Macaca fascicularis: one gene and its partners. The protein of the gene in region 5 interacts with the protein of the main gene of each other region in a biochemical or structural test. Links are inferred from orthologs where the notes say so. Each region holds a gene or a part of one and is shown on either strand. Other genes may lie near its edges.

What was found. The genes of interacting proteins can lie anywhere in the genome.
Region 1: the proteins of UBE2L3 (region 5) and AREL1 form a complex in vitro, tested with the Homo sapiens proteins (4 studies listed by BioGRID). The link is inferred for Macaca fascicularis from reciprocal best matches to the Homo sapiens genes UBE2L3 and AREL1.
Region 2: the proteins of UBE2L3 (region 5) and HERC6 form a complex in vitro, tested with the Homo sapiens proteins (2 studies listed by BioGRID). The link is inferred for Macaca fascicularis from reciprocal best matches to the Homo sapiens genes UBE2L3 and HERC6.
Region 3: the proteins of UBE2L3 (region 5) and SMURF2 form a complex in vitro, tested with the Homo sapiens proteins (11 studies listed by BioGRID, with this or other methods). The link is inferred for Macaca fascicularis from reciprocal best matches to the Homo sapiens genes UBE2L3 and SMURF2.
Region 4: the proteins of UBE2L3 (region 5) and UBR5 form a complex in vitro, tested with the Homo sapiens proteins (6 studies listed by BioGRID). The link is inferred for Macaca fascicularis from reciprocal best matches to the Homo sapiens genes UBE2L3 and UBR5.

What each region holds. Positions count from the first base shown.
Region 1 is NC_088381.1:142,610,915-142,614,178, reverse strand, and holds the end of AREL1 (apoptosis-resistant E3 ubiquitin protein ligase 1), read left to right. Parts: coding exon 1-98; intron 99-172; coding exon 173-275; 3' UTR 276-2,764; downstream 2,765-3,264. UniProt on the Homo sapiens protein: E3 ubiquitin-protein ligase that catalyzes 'Lys-11'- or 'Lys-33'-linked polyubiquitin chains, with some preference for 'Lys-33' linkages.
Region 2 is NC_088379.1:93,929,405-93,932,904, forward strand, and holds part of HERC6 (probable E3 ubiquitin-protein ligase HERC6), read left to right. Parts: intron 1-709; coding exon 710-869; intron 870-2,956; coding exon 2,957-3,033; intron 3,034-3,500. UniProt on the Homo sapiens protein: E3 ubiquitin-protein ligase which accepts ubiquitin from an E2 ubiquitin-conjugating enzyme in the form of a thioester and then directly transfers the ubiquitin to targeted substrates.
Region 3 is NC_088390.1:71,138,891-71,142,390, reverse strand, and holds part of SMURF2 (E3 ubiquitin-protein ligase SMURF2), read left to right. Parts: intron 1-972; coding exon 973-1,174; intron 1,175-2,435; coding exon 2,436-2,511; intron 2,512-2,823; coding exon 2,824-2,923; 3' UTR 2,924-3,500. UniProt on the Homo sapiens protein: E3 ubiquitin-protein ligase which accepts ubiquitin from an E2 ubiquitin-conjugating enzyme in the form of a thioester and then directly transfers the ubiquitin to targeted substrates.
Region 4 is NC_088382.1:111,884,516-111,888,015, reverse strand, and holds part of UBR5 (E3 ubiquitin-protein ligase UBR5), read left to right. Parts: intron 1-117; coding exon 118-238; intron 239-339; coding exon 340-444; intron 445-3,209; coding exon 3,210-3,453; intron 3,454-3,500. UniProt on the Homo sapiens protein: E3 ubiquitin-protein ligase involved in different protein quality control pathways in the cytoplasm and nucleus. Mainly acts as a ubiquitin chain elongator that extends pre-ubiquitinated substrates.
Region 5 is NC_088384.1:31,559,586-31,563,754, forward strand, and holds the start of UBE2L3 (ubiquitin-conjugating enzyme E2 L3), read right to left. Parts: upstream 2,801-4,169; 5' UTR 2,775-2,800; coding exon 2,748-2,774; exon of another isoform or gene 2,222-2,747; intron 1-2,221. UniProt on the Homo sapiens protein: Ubiquitin-conjugating enzyme E2 that specifically acts with HECT-type and RBR family E3 ubiquitin-protein ligases.

The sequences.
Region 1 (3,264 bases), on a different chromosome or scaffold from region 5:
TCCTCTCAGCTACCACCTGGAGGCTTTGCCGCCCTCTGTCCCTCATTTCAGATTATTGCCGCTCCGACCCATAGCACGCTGCCTACTGCACACACATGGTAGGTATCTGCCCGCCTGATGCATGTCCAGTGTTTGGTGGTATGAGTTAATCAATTCTCCCTTGCCCTTCCAGTTTTAACCAGCTGTGCCTCCCTACATATGACTCCTATGAAGAGGTGCACAGGATGCTGCAGCTGGCCATCAGCGAGGGTTGCGAGGGCTTTGGCATGCTCTGACCGCTCTCCTGTCATCCACTTGGCTCCCATGCTCTCTGGAGCTTCTGGGCACAAGTTACAGACATCATAACCACTGATCCTAACACACATAACCATCAGCCAGAAGATGCCGCATGCTCCCTTGTGTCTGGAGGATTGTGTCACCTACAAGCCTTGTCTTTACCTCACCTGCTCTCTGCCCATATCTACCACAGGCCACTTTGGCATGGTATGTAAGCTGAGCTCTTCATTCTGTCATGAGAAGAGGACCATGCTGCTGTCATTTATTTGGTCCTTTGAAGATCTCAGTAGCTGAGGGAGATGGCACACGGGGCTCAGCCCTGTTGGGAAACTAGTGTGGAGACCCTTAAATCTACACTGCTCCAAAACTCCCTCTGCTGATACTCCTTGGAGACACCCTCTTTGGCCCTCACTACTTGACCAGACTGGTACTTGAGTCCTTCTCATGGGTGGGGTGATTGCCTCTTCTCATCAGGAGCCAGGAGAGAGGGACAGATAGGAGGTGGCCCATAGGAGCAGTCCCTCTGCACAATGGTAGGCATAGGCCATGGCACTGGACTGCCTCTAATGAGGACTGATAAAAAGAATCTCTTTTTGTGGTGTCAGAACTGGAAAAAGCACTTTCCCTTCGGGCATTTCTGGAAACGATTATTAATCCACAAAGAAGAACTCTCTAAGCTTTTTCTTGAATTGTAGCCAGTGAGAAAAGCAGATAGACTGAAGAATATGAAGGATAGCTGAGCTGTAGCCTCCAGAGTGGGGCATGCCTAGGCGTGTGGCTGGCTTGGAGACTACTGATGCTTTTCCCTGAGTTGGTTATTGGCACTGAAGTATGGCCGGCTTGGGCCACTGACTTCCCTATTATGTAGTCTGCTAAAAGCTGGGGATTCTTTAGCGTTCTACTGAAGAAAATTTTGTAGCAAAAGATTAGAACAGTAAGAATAGTATGCCAGCAATCCCTGATTCTCTGTCTGCTTGGTGTTCTCTGGCAGCACTAAGACAAAGGACCAGGGATTAGGAGTTTACGTGCTTATCACAGGTCCTTGGGGTCAGGACACTAGGGACGAACATGGAGGTGATATGTTACACAGTAAACACCTGCCAACCCCTATACTCCCCTTTGCTCCATCAGTTACAAGGAAGGAGAACTAAGGAGGGAGGAAGCTTATTAGGTTCACTGTTGAATGATGATTGAAGAGTACCTGCTGCTGTCTCTTGGAAGATGACAACATCCTTTTTCATTACTATTTGAGAACAATTTCAAGATTCAAAATCTCATTGACTTCCCAAATTTGTGTTTTTAAGAAGGCTTTGCTGCAAGCTACCATTCCCAATGGGGCAGTCAACTCAGAATATTACAAGCCATCCTTATTGCCAAAACCAGCAAGTACACAGAGTCCTGAGACAAGGCAGGACTTTGGCAATGCCTTGGCCTCCTGGAAGCATGTCTGAGCCCTCCTGTTCCCAGGGATCATGAGGAACAAGCCCTCCTGAGCTGCTACAGTTCCTGCCTGACCTCACTCTTTCGCAGTCATCATTTGTCCTTTCTTGGCACATGGGTGCTGACCTCACTCATCCTTGGGGTCCGGGATCCAGCATCAGGGTCTCTGTACCCCAGGATCCTCCATGCCACATGGTCACTGCTCTCCTCAGGGACCAGGACAAGGTGCTGCTGCTTGCCCAAATGTTTTCCCATGGGATATGTACAGGAAGGTTTATCATCACCCTGGGAAACATGATGCTGCCCCCTTGGGCCCAGAAAGGGGTTTCCAGCTGGGGGCACGTGGACTGGTTCTGCTGTTTTTGGCAGTTGCTTTTCTGAATTCTCCCCTCCGGCAGCCTTCCAGAGACTGATCCTGGAGACTGAGTTGATTGTCTTGGCTAGATCTGTCATTTTAAGCTCTAGTCATAGCACTTTTTCAGAGCATCTTAGGCACCATTGCAACCCAACCAGGGCAGCTGCATCCCTGTGGTGGTCCTTAGGCACCAGTCTTTGTTAAACAAAACCCTTTGGTACTGTTGTGGTTTTCTATTCTTCCAGTTTACTCTCTCTGTCCTAACTTTATTCAAAAGTATCTTTGCTCTCTTGGGCCTTTTCTTTTACCTTTCTTTTTCTTTTGTTTTGTTTTGTTTTTTTCTAATCCTGCTTTCATACTAGCCAGTGTGGGGAAAAGGTACAATATGTCAAAGAGATGAGAGTGTGTTATTTGTTGGGCAATTTTCTATTAGTGTTTCTTATTTTGGACAGTTATTTTATTTATGTCCTTGTGACCCAGGTACTTGGGGGCCAGCTACCCTTCTGGCCTTTAGCGTCTTTGAAGGAGACCAGACATGAGTGAATACCTAGGAGAGTGTCAGCATGTTTCTGGAAAATTGGCAGAGACCAAGCCCCGCTGCAGATTGCTCAGGCCAGGTGAAAGGGCCAGGCAGTTGCAGCTGATGATGTAAATATTTTGTACAGTAAATAAATAAATGTTTAAAAGAACCAAGAAGTGAGTGGCTGCTTTAAATGGAGATTCATGGCTTGACTGGAAGGTGGGGAAGGAAAAGATTTGGAAATGATTTTGCATTTCCCCAGTAATTCCTCCTGAAGTGGTTGGCTTGGGGTAGAGTGTACGCCTGAAGCCCAGGCCTGCCCCACTCGTGCCCTTTCACCCTTCCCTGATTGCTGTCCATGGTGCCAGGCAGGGCCACTGTCTCAGCCATGGGGAGATGAGGACAAGTGTTATGCTCAGCTTCTGAAGAAGGAACCAGTTAATCAGTCTTTAAACATTAATTCATTGTTGTTTTACTACCTAGAAATTCAATATAGAAAATTTGGAAATAAGAAAAAGAACAAGGGAAATAGGCAAGTTGCTATCCAGAGGCAATCACTGTTAACACTTCGATAAATAGCCTTTTGATTTTCATATTTAAGCACACATTTGTCTCCCAACATCTCCCTAACCCACAAGGGGTTTACAAAGGTAAGCTTGGAAGAGAAGAAAAA
Region 2 (3,500 bases), on a different chromosome or scaffold from region 5:
CCTTTATTTTGCTGGGTTTTGCTAGAGAAACATTTGGTCATGTGTCATAGTGCCTAGAAGTTACCCCCTCCATGATGCCTAATCCTTTAAATAGCAGCCATTAAAAGATAGACTTGAGTACACTAAATGTTTTTAAGAGTCAATTTGAATATTCAGCAGTTCATGAATTGAGCAGCACCAGACCTCAAGCAGTTGGGCTCCACTAAGGGAGGTGCAAGGAGATGCCAGGGGTAACCTTTGATAAGGTGTTCCAGGAAGTAAGACAAAGAAAATATTTGATTGGTTAAAGTGGAAAGTCCCTTGTTTGAAGTAGTCAACTGTTTCTGGTTGGTAAAGTCTCTTAGATGTTAGTTGGTGGTTTCTGATTGCTTAACCTTAAGTTTCATTTTCCTAGGCTATGATCAATCACTCTGAGTTGAGTTTTGGTTTGCTTAGGTAGGAACCCAAGGCGCTGGACCCATCTCAACTTAATAGTCTCCCAGTTGATTATTTTAACAGAGCTGTATCCTATCAAGACAGGGTAACACACATTGGAATTTACTTCCGTCAGACATTTAGAATGGACTTAAGGTCTTGAGTTAAAAGACCATTGGAGGAGACAAGAAATCTGGATGATCCTTCTTTTTGAAGAAAAGTGCTGTCTTAAACTTGTGTTAAATTAATAATCCGGTGGTGGTGGTTGGGGGGTGTTTTGTTTTGTTTTCCAAAGAACCAATTCAGGCATTGGAAACCCTAAATGTTGATCTTGTGAGCTGCGGGAAGGAGCACTCCCTGGCTGTGTGCCACAAAGGAAGGGTCTTCGCATGGGGAGCTGGTTCTGAGGGACAGCTGGGGATTGGAGAATTCAAGGAAATAAGTTTCACACCTAAGTAAGTATTTCAATCCACTCCTTCATTTATTCAATATATTTAGTACCATGTGCCAGGCACCATGCAAGATGCCAGGATACAAAGACGACTGTGACAGGCCAGCTTCAGTGATTCACATCTGTAATCCCAACACTTTGGAAGGCTAAGGTGGGCAGATCACTTGAGGTCAGGAATTTGAGACCAGCCTGGTCAACATGGCGAAAGCCCCTCTCTACAAAAAATACAAGAAAATTAGCTGGGCACAGTGGCAGTCACCTGCAATCCCAACTACTTAGGAGGCTGAAGCGGGAGAATTGCTTGAACCTGGGAGGCAGAGGTTGCAGTGCATGCAGAGAATGCACTGCACTCCAGTCTGGGCAACAGAGGGAGACTCAGTCTCAAAAAAAAAAAAAAAAAAGACTATGACAAACACAGTTCCTAACCTGAAAGATGAAGGCAGGAAAAAACCTACAACACCAATTATTATTTAATTAGAGCAGAGTGAAATGAGATGTGACCCTTTGATCTTAATCTTATCCCTTGGAATATCTATGGGGGCCCACTTAGACCTCCAGAGTGGGTATAAAGACTACTGTAAAGTAGAAACATTTGAGCTGCAAAAGATACAGATATAAATCTTACCTGAACTTCCTTTATCACACTAAAACAGAGCCTCCTGAAAATACAGTTCCCAGTAGCTTCCTTGAGTGAGAGTTTCCTGGGAAATCAGTTGTCATTAAGATAGACCACCCATAACCATTACCATCAAAAAGCCCAATAGAACCTTCTATACTTTCTCACTGAAGTCCCAAAGCCCCGCCTTTTATTAAGTTGACAGATATAAAACTTTACTTTGGGATATTCTGCAATAGCGAGCACACTTGTAAATAACCTTTGTCTTTTCTCATGTTAATCTATTGTCAGTTCATTTGCAAGCCCCCAAATATTGGACCAAAGGTGGAAGAGGAAAAGTTTTTTTCCCAACATAACCTTTTGACGTGTTATAAACCACTGGGCCCTAACATTTTACTTAGTAAAGTGGAGGGAAATGTCACATTTCCTCACAAACAGCTTCCCAGGACAGACATGACAAGTAGTTGGCTCTGGATTGTGTGTTTATGAATTACATACTTAGGGAATTTTCAAATGCATGCTTTTTAATATTAGGAAGTGACCTCTTGTTACCTCTTCTGGTCATTAAATTCTAGAAGAGATCAATGTTATTTGGGGGACTGAGCATTGAACTTGGAATGAAAAGACCAGAATTTGAGTCTAGTTCTACAACGTGATACCTATTTGACCTCTTTGAGTTTCATTAGATTCACCTTATGAAATTGCCGATAGTGGCCAGGCTCAGTGGCTCATGCCTGTAATCCCAGCACTTTGGGAGGCCGAGGCGGGCAGATCACCTGAGATCAGGATTTCGAGACCAGCCTGGCCAACATGGTGAAACCTCATGTATACTAAAAATACAAAAAAAAAATAGCCAGATGTTGTGGTGCATGCCTGTAATCACAGCTACTTGGGAGGCTGAGGCAGTAGAATTACTTGAACTCAGGAGGTGGAGGTTATAGTGAGCCAAGATCGCACCACTGCCCTCCAGTCTGGGACACAGAGCGAGACTCCATCTGTGAGAAGAAAAAGGAAATTGCTGATAGTTATCTGCTTTTGATCCACAAAAATGGTGGCAATTTTGTATGATTTAACCTAATGATTTCTTTATTAAATTAGGGCTTAAATTAGATGATGAAGATGTTGGTATTCTATAAATTCTAAGGCCCTATACTATATATGTAGAAAAACATTATTTTTCTCTTAGGCTAGTAAGTGTAGAATAAAATTAGTATATTAGATATTGCATTAAAGTCCAGTAACAATGGCTTTTGCATTATATACTGTTTTGGATTCTGTCCTATACCTTTGTACATGTTGATGTCATGTTAAAAACAGTTTGAGGGCTTTGGAATAAAGGTACTACAGAAATACAAGAAAATAAAATGGTTTTCCTAGACCAGATGTATTACTTGAGATACTTTTAAATATCTGTAGTCCACTGGACAACTCACTCTAAATAAGGATTAATTAACTTTGTATTATTTGTATTACAGGAAAATAACGACTCTGAATGGTATAAAAATAATACAAGTTTCCTGTGGACACTACCACTCCCTGGCATTATCAAAAGGTAAGAAACACTTTTTGGATCTGAGTGTGATTAGGAAGTAATTTTTTGAATAGGAATTATAGCTGTTGATTTTTAATGCACTGGGGTTTATTTTGAAGTTTTTCATTCTCCAGGTTTTGTAAGATATATTGTTTTTATATTTTTTTCTCAAATTTCGTGGTCCTAATTATACTCTAAACAGTGCCTAATTCATAGTGCCATAAGGGGCTGTCTCTGGTTATTTGACCTAACTGGCTAACTCTCTCAGAGCTTAGTAGTGGCTTTATTTCCAGCCCTTTGCTCTTTATGCTGAATGGCTTGTCCACACTGGCAGACTTATTTGTCTATTTCACTTAGATCAAATAAAGAGAAGTCAAGGTGTCAAAATCATGACTATATTTTTTTCTTTTTTAAAATTTTTACTTCTTTATCTTTATGGACACATAACAATCATACATCTACACTTTTTCGACCAAACTCCACCCTCT
Region 3 (3,500 bases), on a different chromosome or scaffold from region 5:
TTAGCAGAGGTCTGTATCAATGTGCTCATGTATTTTGTGCTTTAATATCAATTTAAGATTATTAAGCAAATGTAGACCAGGCGTGGTGGCTCACGCCTGTAATCCTAACACTTTGGGAGGCTGAGGCAGGTGGATCACTTGAGGCCAGGAGTTGGAGACCAGCCTGGCCAACATGGCAGAATCCTGTCTCTACTGAAAAATACAAAAATTAGCTGGGCATTGTGGCGCATGCCTGTAATCCCAGCTACTCAGGAGGTTGAGGCAGGAGAATCACTTGAACCCAGGAGGCAGAGGTTGCAGTGAGCCTAGATCATGCCATTGCACACCAGCCTAGGAGACAGAGCGAAACTCTGTCTTAAAAAAAAAAAAAAAAAAAAAAATTAAGCAAATTGTATGAATCACTTATTCAACACCCATTTCTAAAGTTTCTGTGCATTATCGGTTCCTTCCACAGGATGTAGTGAAATGGATGTTACTGCCATATTACAGCAGAGGACATTGATTGAATTGCTCTCAATCAACAAAGCTAATAGATATTGAAACTAGTAGATGATACAGGTCCAAAGAAGGCACATATCAACTGTATTTACTCTTTGGATCTCAATTGCTGTCCATTTTCTTAAAAGTTTTATAATTTTATTATGAACTTATAAAACAGTCACAATTTTTTACCTGGTCAAGTCTATCACAGCTGTGGTTCTCAGACCCTGGGGAGGGAGTTTCAATGAGTAGATACCTCTGGAACTTTTAAAAATATAGATCCCAACTGTCACCCCAGATGCACAGAATTAAAATCTCTGAGCCTAGAACCTGGTATGTCAATTTGAAAAGCTTTTCAGATGATTCTGATGTGCAACTTCGATTAGGAACCACCAAATGAGAGCCAGCAGTACAAATCTGAAGTTCTCTTTTGAGGAATTTTTGACCTGGCTATGGTTTCCACAGGTTCATTACTGTGTACTATTTTCACAGCTTATTATTTGTGGACTTGGAAAGATAGATGTTAGTGACTGGAAGGTAAACACCCGGTTAAAACACTGTACACCAGACAGCAACATTGTCAAATGGTTCTGGAAAGCTGTGGAGTTTTTTGATGAAGAGCGACGAGCACGATTGCTTCAGTTTGTGACAGGGTCCTCTCGAGTGCCTCTGCAGGGCTTCAAAGCATTGCAAGGTAACAGCCTGAGGGGCAGGCAAGCTGGGCGGCAGGTGGACCAGGGGTGGGGGCCAGGTCTGTCAGTATGGGGTCTGTGTAGATATTTTATAAACCGTGTGCTTAGAGATTCTCTTTTCACTTCTTACCTGTGACTCTCACATTGTGATACCTTCTCCTTCCTTTCTCTTGTTCCCCTCCCAAGAGCCTTTTGTGTGGGCTTCTCTGATTGTAGTGAGTGCCGCATGCTAGAGACCGTACGTAGTGATGCTCTGCCTTTTGTTTTCTGGTCACCTTACTTTTAATTCTGTTGCACATTCCTGTAAGGGAAGTCATTCACTTTCATGTTCACATCTCGACCTGGTGAAAATGTTTACCTGCCTGGGATGCCTCTCCCCTTACTTTTCAGTTCTTTATTAGACAGAAGCAGCATGGGTCATGGAAACCATCTGTTCGGTCAGAACATTTTAATTACTGCATGGCATCAGACCATTTGTTTACAACCATATTCCTTTTTAAAGAATGGTTTTCCGTGGAATCAGCTGGTTAATTTTGGGATGAGCTTGTAATATTGCTAATGATTGTGGCGCTTCACTGGGTGGCAGTTGCTTCCTTTACCTCTTAAGCACTTCATTGTCAAAGCTGCTGGTGATGACTAAGGACATACAGAGCGAGACTGGTACATAATTCGGCAGTGCTGCCCACAGCGCATGCTCTGAAATCCCTGGGGCGAACCTGCTTTCAGCTGTGCTGCCCTTCTCTGTAAGGAGAGCTCCTCAGCATCACACTGCCCAGATGCATAAAGTGAGGTTGTATTTCTGCTACGTGTATTTATATGGGGTGTCTGTGCGAACTGAAATGGATTCTATAGACGGCTCTTTTGCGCTCAGCCCAGTTTGAGTCATGAAATCTAAATTCGCATTAGGTCATCTTTTTGAATGTGTGCCTATGTATTTTACCTTGGATTTTCCTGATTACTTTTCTTCTCATGCTTTTGGGATATTGATTTTCTCTAAAATATAGAAATTGGGAAAGAGATTTCAATCTCGAGTTTTTTCTCAAATGGAAATACAAAGGTATTATGGAATCTAAGCCTTATCCAAGGTTAATTCTGGCTCTCAAAACCCAGATGCTTTTCCTGCTGCCCTTTGGTAGTACGTGCGGATTCATTAGCATTCCTCTATCCCCAGATCCTGTGGTTTACGTGCCAGTTTTATTCTAAGATTGTGGCGACAAATGCACGCACCTGCAGTGATTTCACCCACATTTCCTTCATTTGCAGGTGCTGCAGGCCCGAGACTCTTTACCATACACCAGATTGATGCCTGCACAGACAACCTGCCGAAAGCCCACACTTGGTAAGGTATTTTTGTAGCTTTATTCCCCATTCCATGTACATAGGTGTTAGTTCCGAACAGATTGGACTTTTTCTTTATTGTACTTACTAGTGTTGAATGAGCCTTTAAAGGGAATGATAAGCAGCTTAAGCGATTTAAAGTTAAGATTATTCGAAAACTGGTAGGAAAACTCAAAAGTGGTCACCTCTGTTTTAGAGAAATACCTTTTAGTTTTCTGTGTGACAGAGTGTTGTGGCTATATTGGTATACACTTGCTGGGCCAGTTTACTTATTATGAATGAACTGTGTAAAATTTGATTTGCTTATTCACAGCTTCAATCGAATAGACATTCCGCCCTATGAAAGCTATGAAAAGCTATATGAAAAGCTGCTAACAGCCATTGAAGAAACATGTGGATTTGCTGTGGAATGACGAGCTTCAAGGATTTGCCCAGGACTCTATTTATACAACCCTGACTGACAGTCTCCTTTCAGCAGAGTTTCAAAGAATGCTGAAATACAGGAAAACAACCCCCCCCCTTTTTTTTTTTTTTTTACATTTTAGGACACTGTGAGGGGAAAGGACAATTTTGAAATTCCTTTTCAAGGAAAAAAAGGTCTTTATGCTTTGCCATGAGGCCACATTCAGCTGCTATTTAAACTTAATATCTTGAACCTAAAGAATGCTGACTTTTCCTACATTTCCAGAGTTAGGCAGTATTCTACACTTAAAGACTACTACTATTTTTATAAAAGGTAATCTATTCAAATTGCTTCACAGATTTTAAGTCTCTCAAACATCAAGACAACTTCAGCAGTCGGTACAAGTCACATTTCATTTTGATTGAATACATAATTTTGAACAGCTCCTGTACTTGCTCTTTGTAAAAAATAAAAATAAAAAATTATTTTGAACTATTCTACCTTTGTAAACAATTGGCTAAAAGAATCATCTTTAAGAAATTAAGCCATTTACATGTTTGTGTTTTTCTATGGCAGAGCATTATATT
Region 4 (3,500 bases), on a different chromosome or scaffold from region 5:
AGAATATTAAAAAAAATAAATAAAGTAAGTTACTACCATTGAACGAAAAACATCAGTCTTTGAAATTGGCTAAAGTATTTCCTCCCCGCCCCGCCCCTTCCCTTAAACTTCTTACAGGCCACAGTGTAGCTTTATGGGAATGGTTATTTCCCATGATATGCTGCTAGGACGTTGGCGCCTTTCTTTAGAACTGTTCGGCAGGGTATTCATGGAAGATGTTGGAGCAGAACCTGGATCAGTATGTATTTTGTGCACTTTAAATTCCATTCTGCCTGATGAGCACATATTTCAGGGAATAATCTGTCATGCTTTTTTTTTTTTTTTTTTTTTTTTTTTAAGATCCTGACTGAATTGGGTGGTTTTGAGGTAAAAGAATCAAAATTCCGTAGAGAAATGGAAAAACTGAGAAACCAGCAGTCAAGAGATTTATCACTAGAGGTAAAGGTATTTAGATTTTCTTATACTATACCTGTAGCATGCTATTTATATAAATTTTAAAACATACAAAATAACAGTAGCTTTACTTAGGTATATGTACTTATAATTAAAAAATTAAAGAAAATAAAAGACATGTTAAACTGCCAAATTTATTTTTTATTTGTGTGTGTGTGTGTGTGTGGTTTCTTTTTATTTTTTTCTTATTGTAACCATCAAATTTAGAATAGTGGTTTTCTCTGGCAGTTTGGTTCCCTAGCATCCTCTATGAATTTTTTTGTTTTAGTTTTTAAGTATCATTATGCATGCCTTGATTTAAAGATTTTTTTATGTATTTAATTCCATTGAGATTATTATTCATATTGATGCTCAAATTGTGTCTTCTTTGGCTAATGGGAGTCTTGAGTCAATTTTGATTCCTCAGTCCTTTTGGCATTGGCCCAGTAATTTTTGATAACTTTCTTACTTCCTGGTATGTTTCATCTTGTGCATTTCCTGTCGCAGACCTTAAATCAGCCATTTCTTAAAGTAGCCTTGATTCCTTTTAGTAGGAAATTGTGTTTTGAGATTACAGTCTGTGCTCTAAGATTGCAAATTGCTACTGGGTTGATCATGGTTTCTAGGCCTTTTTAATTGATAACAGTTTGGCAGTGCATTTTATTTTGTTCTTTTTTTAAAAAAATAAAATAATGAATTAATATTGATACTCCCAATTCAAATTCAAGATGTAGGACCACAAGGTTGTTTTTGTTATTTTTGCTTTTTAGATTTTTTTTTTTTTTTTTTTTTTGAGGCGGAGTCTTGCTTTGTCACCCAGGCCAGAGCACAGTGGCATGATCTTGGCTCACTGCAACCTCCACCTCTTGGGTTCAGGAGACTCTCCTGCTTCAGCCTCCTGAGTAGCTGGGATTACAGGTGTCTGCAACCATGCCTGGCTAATTTTTGTATTTTTAATAGAGACAGGGTTTCACCATGTTGGCCAGGCTGGTCTCAAACTCCCGACCTCAGGTGATCCACCTGCCCTGGCCTCCCAAAGTGCTGGGATTAGAGGTGTGAGCCACCACACCTGGCCTTGCTTCTTAGATCTTAAGTCTTTATCTCCTTTCTTTCAGACTGAATATCCAACTTCCCAACAACATTAATCAAATTACTCATTTGTTTTAATGCCACAACATACACAGTAGCAGTCAGAATTACATCACTGGAATCTGAGGTGGAAGGATGGCTTGAGTCCAGGAATTCGAGGACAGCCTGGGCAACATAATGTGAGAGACTCTGTCTCTTAAAAAGAATTATAACATCAACACTACCACTAACAAAATGATTATTCAAAATAATTAAAGATTTATTTGCAGATGTTTGTACTTAGATCATATACAGTTAGAGATAACACAGTTAAAGGAGGTTTATTTTAAAGTCACTTGAAGTAATTTCTCTTTGTAGGTTTTGCTACCAGCTCTATATGATTAGGACCTTTTGTTTCATTTTGCTTTCAGATTTTAGGGATTCCTTTTTCCTCTTTTGGTTTTATTTTGTAATCAATGTAAAATATCTACAGTGTGGCAGAGTGAACTCTACAAAAGAATGAATATAAGTCTATTCTTGTCTCTTTTACCCATTTTTTCAAGTTTATTTCCTTCCCTCCCTTTTAAAACATATAAGCATATGTGTGTATTAATTACATACTTCCTCCCACCTCCCCAAACATACTATACATTTTATTCCATCTTGCTTTTCTCAGTTAATAGTATATCCCAGAGAAAATGTGAAATGTTCTACCTTCCTTTTATAGCTGCTTAATATACTGCACTTTTATGGTTGTTATCGCAGTTTTTGCAGCTAATCCCTTACAGGCTAGGTATTCAGGCTTATTTCCAGTCTTTTGCTATTACAGATAGTGTGATGAATGGCCTTGTGTTTTTTTGCTAGTGTGTCCCTGAGATAGATGCTTAGACGTGGAATTGCTGGGTCAAAGAGTATGTGCATGTGATTTTGCTAGACATTGACGGATACTTCTGCATAGCAGTTGCATAATTTTGCATTTTCACCATCAATGTGAGAATGCATGATTTGCCTCAGTCTTGCCAGCATTTGTTAAACTTCTAGATTTTTGCTAATCTGATAGGTAAGAAATAGCACCTCAGTATAGTTTTAATTTGAATTTATCTTATTTTGAGCAAAGTTAAACATTATTTCATATATTTAGGATAGTTGTATTTAACTCAGTTGATGTGCCCATTTTTTTTTCTAAGTTGGCTTTCTCTCAGATTTCAGAGGCTTTTTATGTAGCTACAGGTGATAGACACACTCATTAATGATTATATATATCTTTGTGAGAAAAGATGCAAACAATTTTCCAGTTTGGTTAATTCCCCTCCAGCCTCCCGCCCACTTAGCTTGTCATCAAGGAATTCATCTGTGTTTTTTTCTGTTTTTTTTTTTTTTAACATCTCTGATTATTTGGTATTCTGGTGTATCCCAAAATTGAACAAGATTATTGTTTTCCAATAAACCTTTGAAAGAAAGTGTTAGAATTGAATTAAATTCTGTTGTCCTGATTTAATTTGCAAGACCTTCTTGTGTGCTTTAATGGTTTAAACATTGTATTTCGTAATGGATAAGCTTCTGAGAACTCTGATTACTTTGTAGTTTTTTAAACTCTCAAGGAAAAGCTAAAACTAGATTTTCAGATTGAAAATAGAAAAATTCAAACTACAAAAAATTCTAACTACTTTCCAACATTGAATTTACTACTTCTTGATGTGTTTTAATAGGTTGATCGGGATCGAGATCTTCTCATTCAGCAGACTATGAGGCAGCTTAACAATCACTTTGGTCGAAGATGTGCTACTACACCAATGGCTGTACACAGAGTAAAAGTCACATTTAAGGATGAGCCAGGAGAGGGCAGTGGTGTAGCACGAAGTTTTTATACAGCCATTGCACAAGCATTTTTGTCAAATGAAAAATTGCCAAATCTAGAGTGTATCCAAAATGCCAACAAAGGCACCCACACAAGTAAGTAGTCCACAGATAACAAGCATCATAAAACTTCTTTCCTTGTC
Region 5 (4,169 bases):
GTGTCTTCTCCCTCCCCACCACATTCTACGATTCTACCTTAGGTAACTCCCTTAACCTAGTTAACCTCACAATGTCCTCATTTGTAAAAACATAAAAACGACAATACACTAACTTGGAGTGTTGAAAAGATAACTTATGTAAATAACCTAATATTTAATAAATACTCAGTTAATGTTACAAATTCTTTTCCAAGGTCTATTTTTTTAGAAACAGAGTAATAATTTTAAACCCGTAATAAGTCCCCTCTTAGACCCCTGAGAGCCTGGGGATTCCAAACTGGGTCAACTGGGATAGGCTAGGGGGCTTCCAGGATGAATTAGGTCAAGATCCCTGCCCTTCGGGATCTCAGAACCCAGTACAGGAAAGACAAGTCTGTAACACAAAGAGATTGTGACAAGTGCTCAAAGAGAAACATAAAGTGCTGTGGTCACACAGAGGAGGAAACAACTCATTCTGAAGGGGGATGTGAAGCAGGGGCTCACAGAGCAGTTGGCATTGGAGTTGAACCTGGGACTTCTCTGGAAGGCAGAAGTGAGGAGAAGGCAACTTTTTTGGGGCAGAGCAAACGACACGTGCAAAGAGACACCAGAGGGCAAGTAAGAGCAGGAGACTTTGCTTTGGAGAAAGAACCCAGTTCGATCACAGCTCACTCTCCCTAGCTAGGTAACCCAGGGCAAGCCAAATAATCTTTTCTCATCGACAAAATGGAAATCACAATGTCTACTTCACAGGAAGGATTAAACATGATCATGCATATAAAGCACGAAGTAAAAGCTGGAAAAATAGTAGCTACTGCGATTAGGTGCAAGAATGGTGGGAAACCAAAGGGCAGGAGGTGAGGCTCAACTGATTGCTTTCCGTCAGTCTCAGAAAGGTCTTGCATGCCAAGTAAGAGGTTAGGATTAACTGCTGAGGACAATAAGACCATAGACATTTTTAACAGGAGTGAAAAGAATTGAGTTATCTGCCTTAAAAGAACTCTGGTGTCCGTGAGGGGTAGTCTGGGGAGGAGAGCACTCCGGAGGGCACCCAAGAGATGAGGATACAGATTCAGAGTAATTTCAGTAACATTAGAAAGCAAGTCATGCACTTCAGAAATCTTTTTTTTTGTTTGTTTTTGAGATGGAGTCTCACTCTGTCGCCCTGGCTGGAGTGCAGTGGCGCAAACTTGGCTCACTGCAACCTCCACCTGCCAGGTTCAAACGATTCTCCCACTTCAGCCTCCCGGGTAGCTGAGATTACAGGCGAATGCGACCACGCCCAGCTAATTTTTATATTTTTAGTAGAGACAGGAGTTCACCATGTTGGCCGGGCTGGTCTTGAACTCCTGACCTCAAGTGATCCGCCCGCCTCGGCCTCCCAGAGTGCTGGGATTACAGGCGTGAGCCACCGCGCCCGGCCTGCACTCCAGAAAACTTTCTAAATTTAAATCCACAAGGGTTGAAGGACGACTGCACCTGGGAGTAGGGTAGGAAAGAAAGCCATTAACCGACCCCTTATCTGGTGAATGGTGGTGTCACTAGCTTAAGAGATGAGAAGTCAGAAGTCCTCTGAGTTTTCTTTTGTGCCCACTTCCACTCCAGTTTTATAAAGTTAATGTCCTCTCTAGCCCTTAGGGAACAAAAGAAAGGAAACGTTCCCAGGGAGGCAGGGAGGGCTCAGAGACTGTGGCTCCAAGTTCAATGTCTAGTTCTACCAAACACTGCTCTGCCCAGAACGAACCCCAGCTCTTTATCTCCCCTCAGGAAACCGGCTCCGGGGCCTTTTTTTAATTTCCGGCCCGTTGCAGGCCGGCTGCACTAGCCAGCCGCCGACTCACAGACGCTGGCGGAGGGGACTCCGGAGGACGTTGGCAAATCCACTGGCAAAAGAACTAAGCCAATTTAGCTAATGTGTTCCTCACTAAAAGGTGCCAAGTAGCAAGAAAGCACCCTGCTGCATTCAAGATCCAAAGTACCAAGTTATTATTATAAACTTTGGCCCGTTTTGATTCGAACGACTGAAACCAACCGTTACCCCCCAAAAAATGGCATTTTGCTTTATCAGGGAAGGGAGATCGAGATGACTGAGTGGAGGAGAGGGAAGGAGAACCGCGCCGCGATGGGGGCCGACCTCAGGCCTTCCTGGAGTTGGAACTTGCCCGCTGTGTGACTCTGCAGTCACAAGGCGACAGTTTGCTAGGACCCAGCGCAATTCCAAACGACCCACCAACAAACTGACCTAACTTTGGCCGCCTGGCCTCCTCCCCGCTCTCCTAGCCCGAGCCTTCCAGAGTTCCGAGCTGCGGCTGGGCCAAGCGGAGCTGCAAGCCCGGCTCGCTGAGGCCCAGGGCGGGGCGGTTCCGCTGCACGGGCTCCGGGCAGGGGCTCCGGCGCTCGGGCCTTCCCCGAAGGCGCTCAGTTTGGAGCCTCCCAACCGGGCTCTCACATTAACGACGCCCTCGCGTCGGACCGCGGCCTCCGCGACAGGGGGACGCGGCCACGCTCCGGGCGGAGGGTGGCGTGAACGCCCCGGGCCGGGCTGAGGGGCCAACAGTGGCTCCCAGCGCGGCCTGGCGCTCCCGCCCAGGCTGCGGCCTAGGCCAGCCCCGTTAGCTCCTTGAGCCTGCGCGCGGCCCAGGGAACCGACGAGGCCGTGTAGGGCAGGAGGCCAGACGGCAGCGCCCTGAGAGGCCGCTGCCTGCCTCGGGGGTCCGGAGCCTGGGACGCCGCCCCACGCCCGACCGAGGCCAGAGAATGGCTTTTACCTTCATCAGCCTCCTGCTGGCCGCCATCTTGGATTTGGTGCTGCTCCTTCCCCAGAATGCATCGCGGCCGGCCGGGCGGCTGGAGCCCCCGCACTTCCTGGAGCGGGGGAGGGGCCGCGGGGCGGGGCACAGGAGCGGAGCAGAGCACCTACTGTATGCTTCCCAGCGTGCTCGGAGGCGCGTGGAGGAACACAAGTGAACCGCACAGGCTGAGCCGCAGCGTTTACGGATCGTCCAATCAGATGACAGTTACAACCAGTGCCTGGCACGTAGTAGGCAAATAATAAATATTGATTGCATAAAATAGTTGGCCGGGCGCGGTGGCTCACGCCTGTAATCCCAGCACTTTGGGAGACCGAGGCGGGTAGATCACGAGGTCAGCAGTTCCAGACCAGCCTGGCCAAAGTGGTGAAACCGTGGCTCTACTAAAAATACAAAAAATTAGCCGGGCGTGGTGGCGGGCGTCTGTAATCTCAGCTACTCAGGAGGCTGAGGCAGGAGAATTGCTTGAACCTGGGAGGCAGAGGTTGCAGTGAGCCGAGACCACGCCACTGCACTCCAGCCTGGGCGACAGAGATTCCGTCTTAAAAAAAAAAAAAAAAAGTACTCTGATTGGAATGGGGAATGGAGGTGGGTAAGAGGATAAGAAGGGGAGCAGGGGCCACTTGGAAACCTGTTGCAATCGTTCAGGCAAAGAGGTGACACTGGTTTGGACCTCAGGGAGCAAAGAAGAGAGAAGAACATAGCTTCAGAATATACTCAGACCTTCTTAAGGAGTTCTCTTTTTTTTTTTTTTTTTTTTTTTTTTGAGACACAGTTTCACTCTGTCACCCAGAGTGGAGTGCAATGGCATGATCTCAGCTCACTGCAACCTCTGAATCCCAGGTTCAAGTGATTCTCCTGCCTCAGCCTCTTGAGTAGCATAGATTACAGGCACCTGCCACCATGCCCAGCTAATTTTTGTATTTTCGGTAGAGACAGGGTTTTAGCATTTTTGGCCAGGCTGGTCTCAAACTGCTGACCTCAAGCAATCCACCCACCTTGGCCTCCCAAAGTGCTGGGATTATAGGTGTGAGTCACTGGGCTTGGACATTTTTCTCCATTTCTAAGAACAGTGGGTTTCGGCCGGGCGCGGTGGCTCAAGCCTGTAATCCCAGCACTTTGGGAGGCCGAGGCGGGTGGATCACGAGGTCAGGAGATCGAGACTATCCTGGCTAACACGGTGAAACCCCGTCTCTACTAAAAATACAAAAAACTAGCCGGGCGTGGTGGCGGGTGCCTGTAGTCTCAGCTACTCGGGAGGCTGAGGCGGGAGAATGGCATGAACCCGGGAGGCGGAGCTTGCAGTGAGCCGAGATCACGCCACTGCACTCCAGCCTGGGAGACACAGCGAGACTCCGTCTCAAAAAAAAAAAAAAAAAA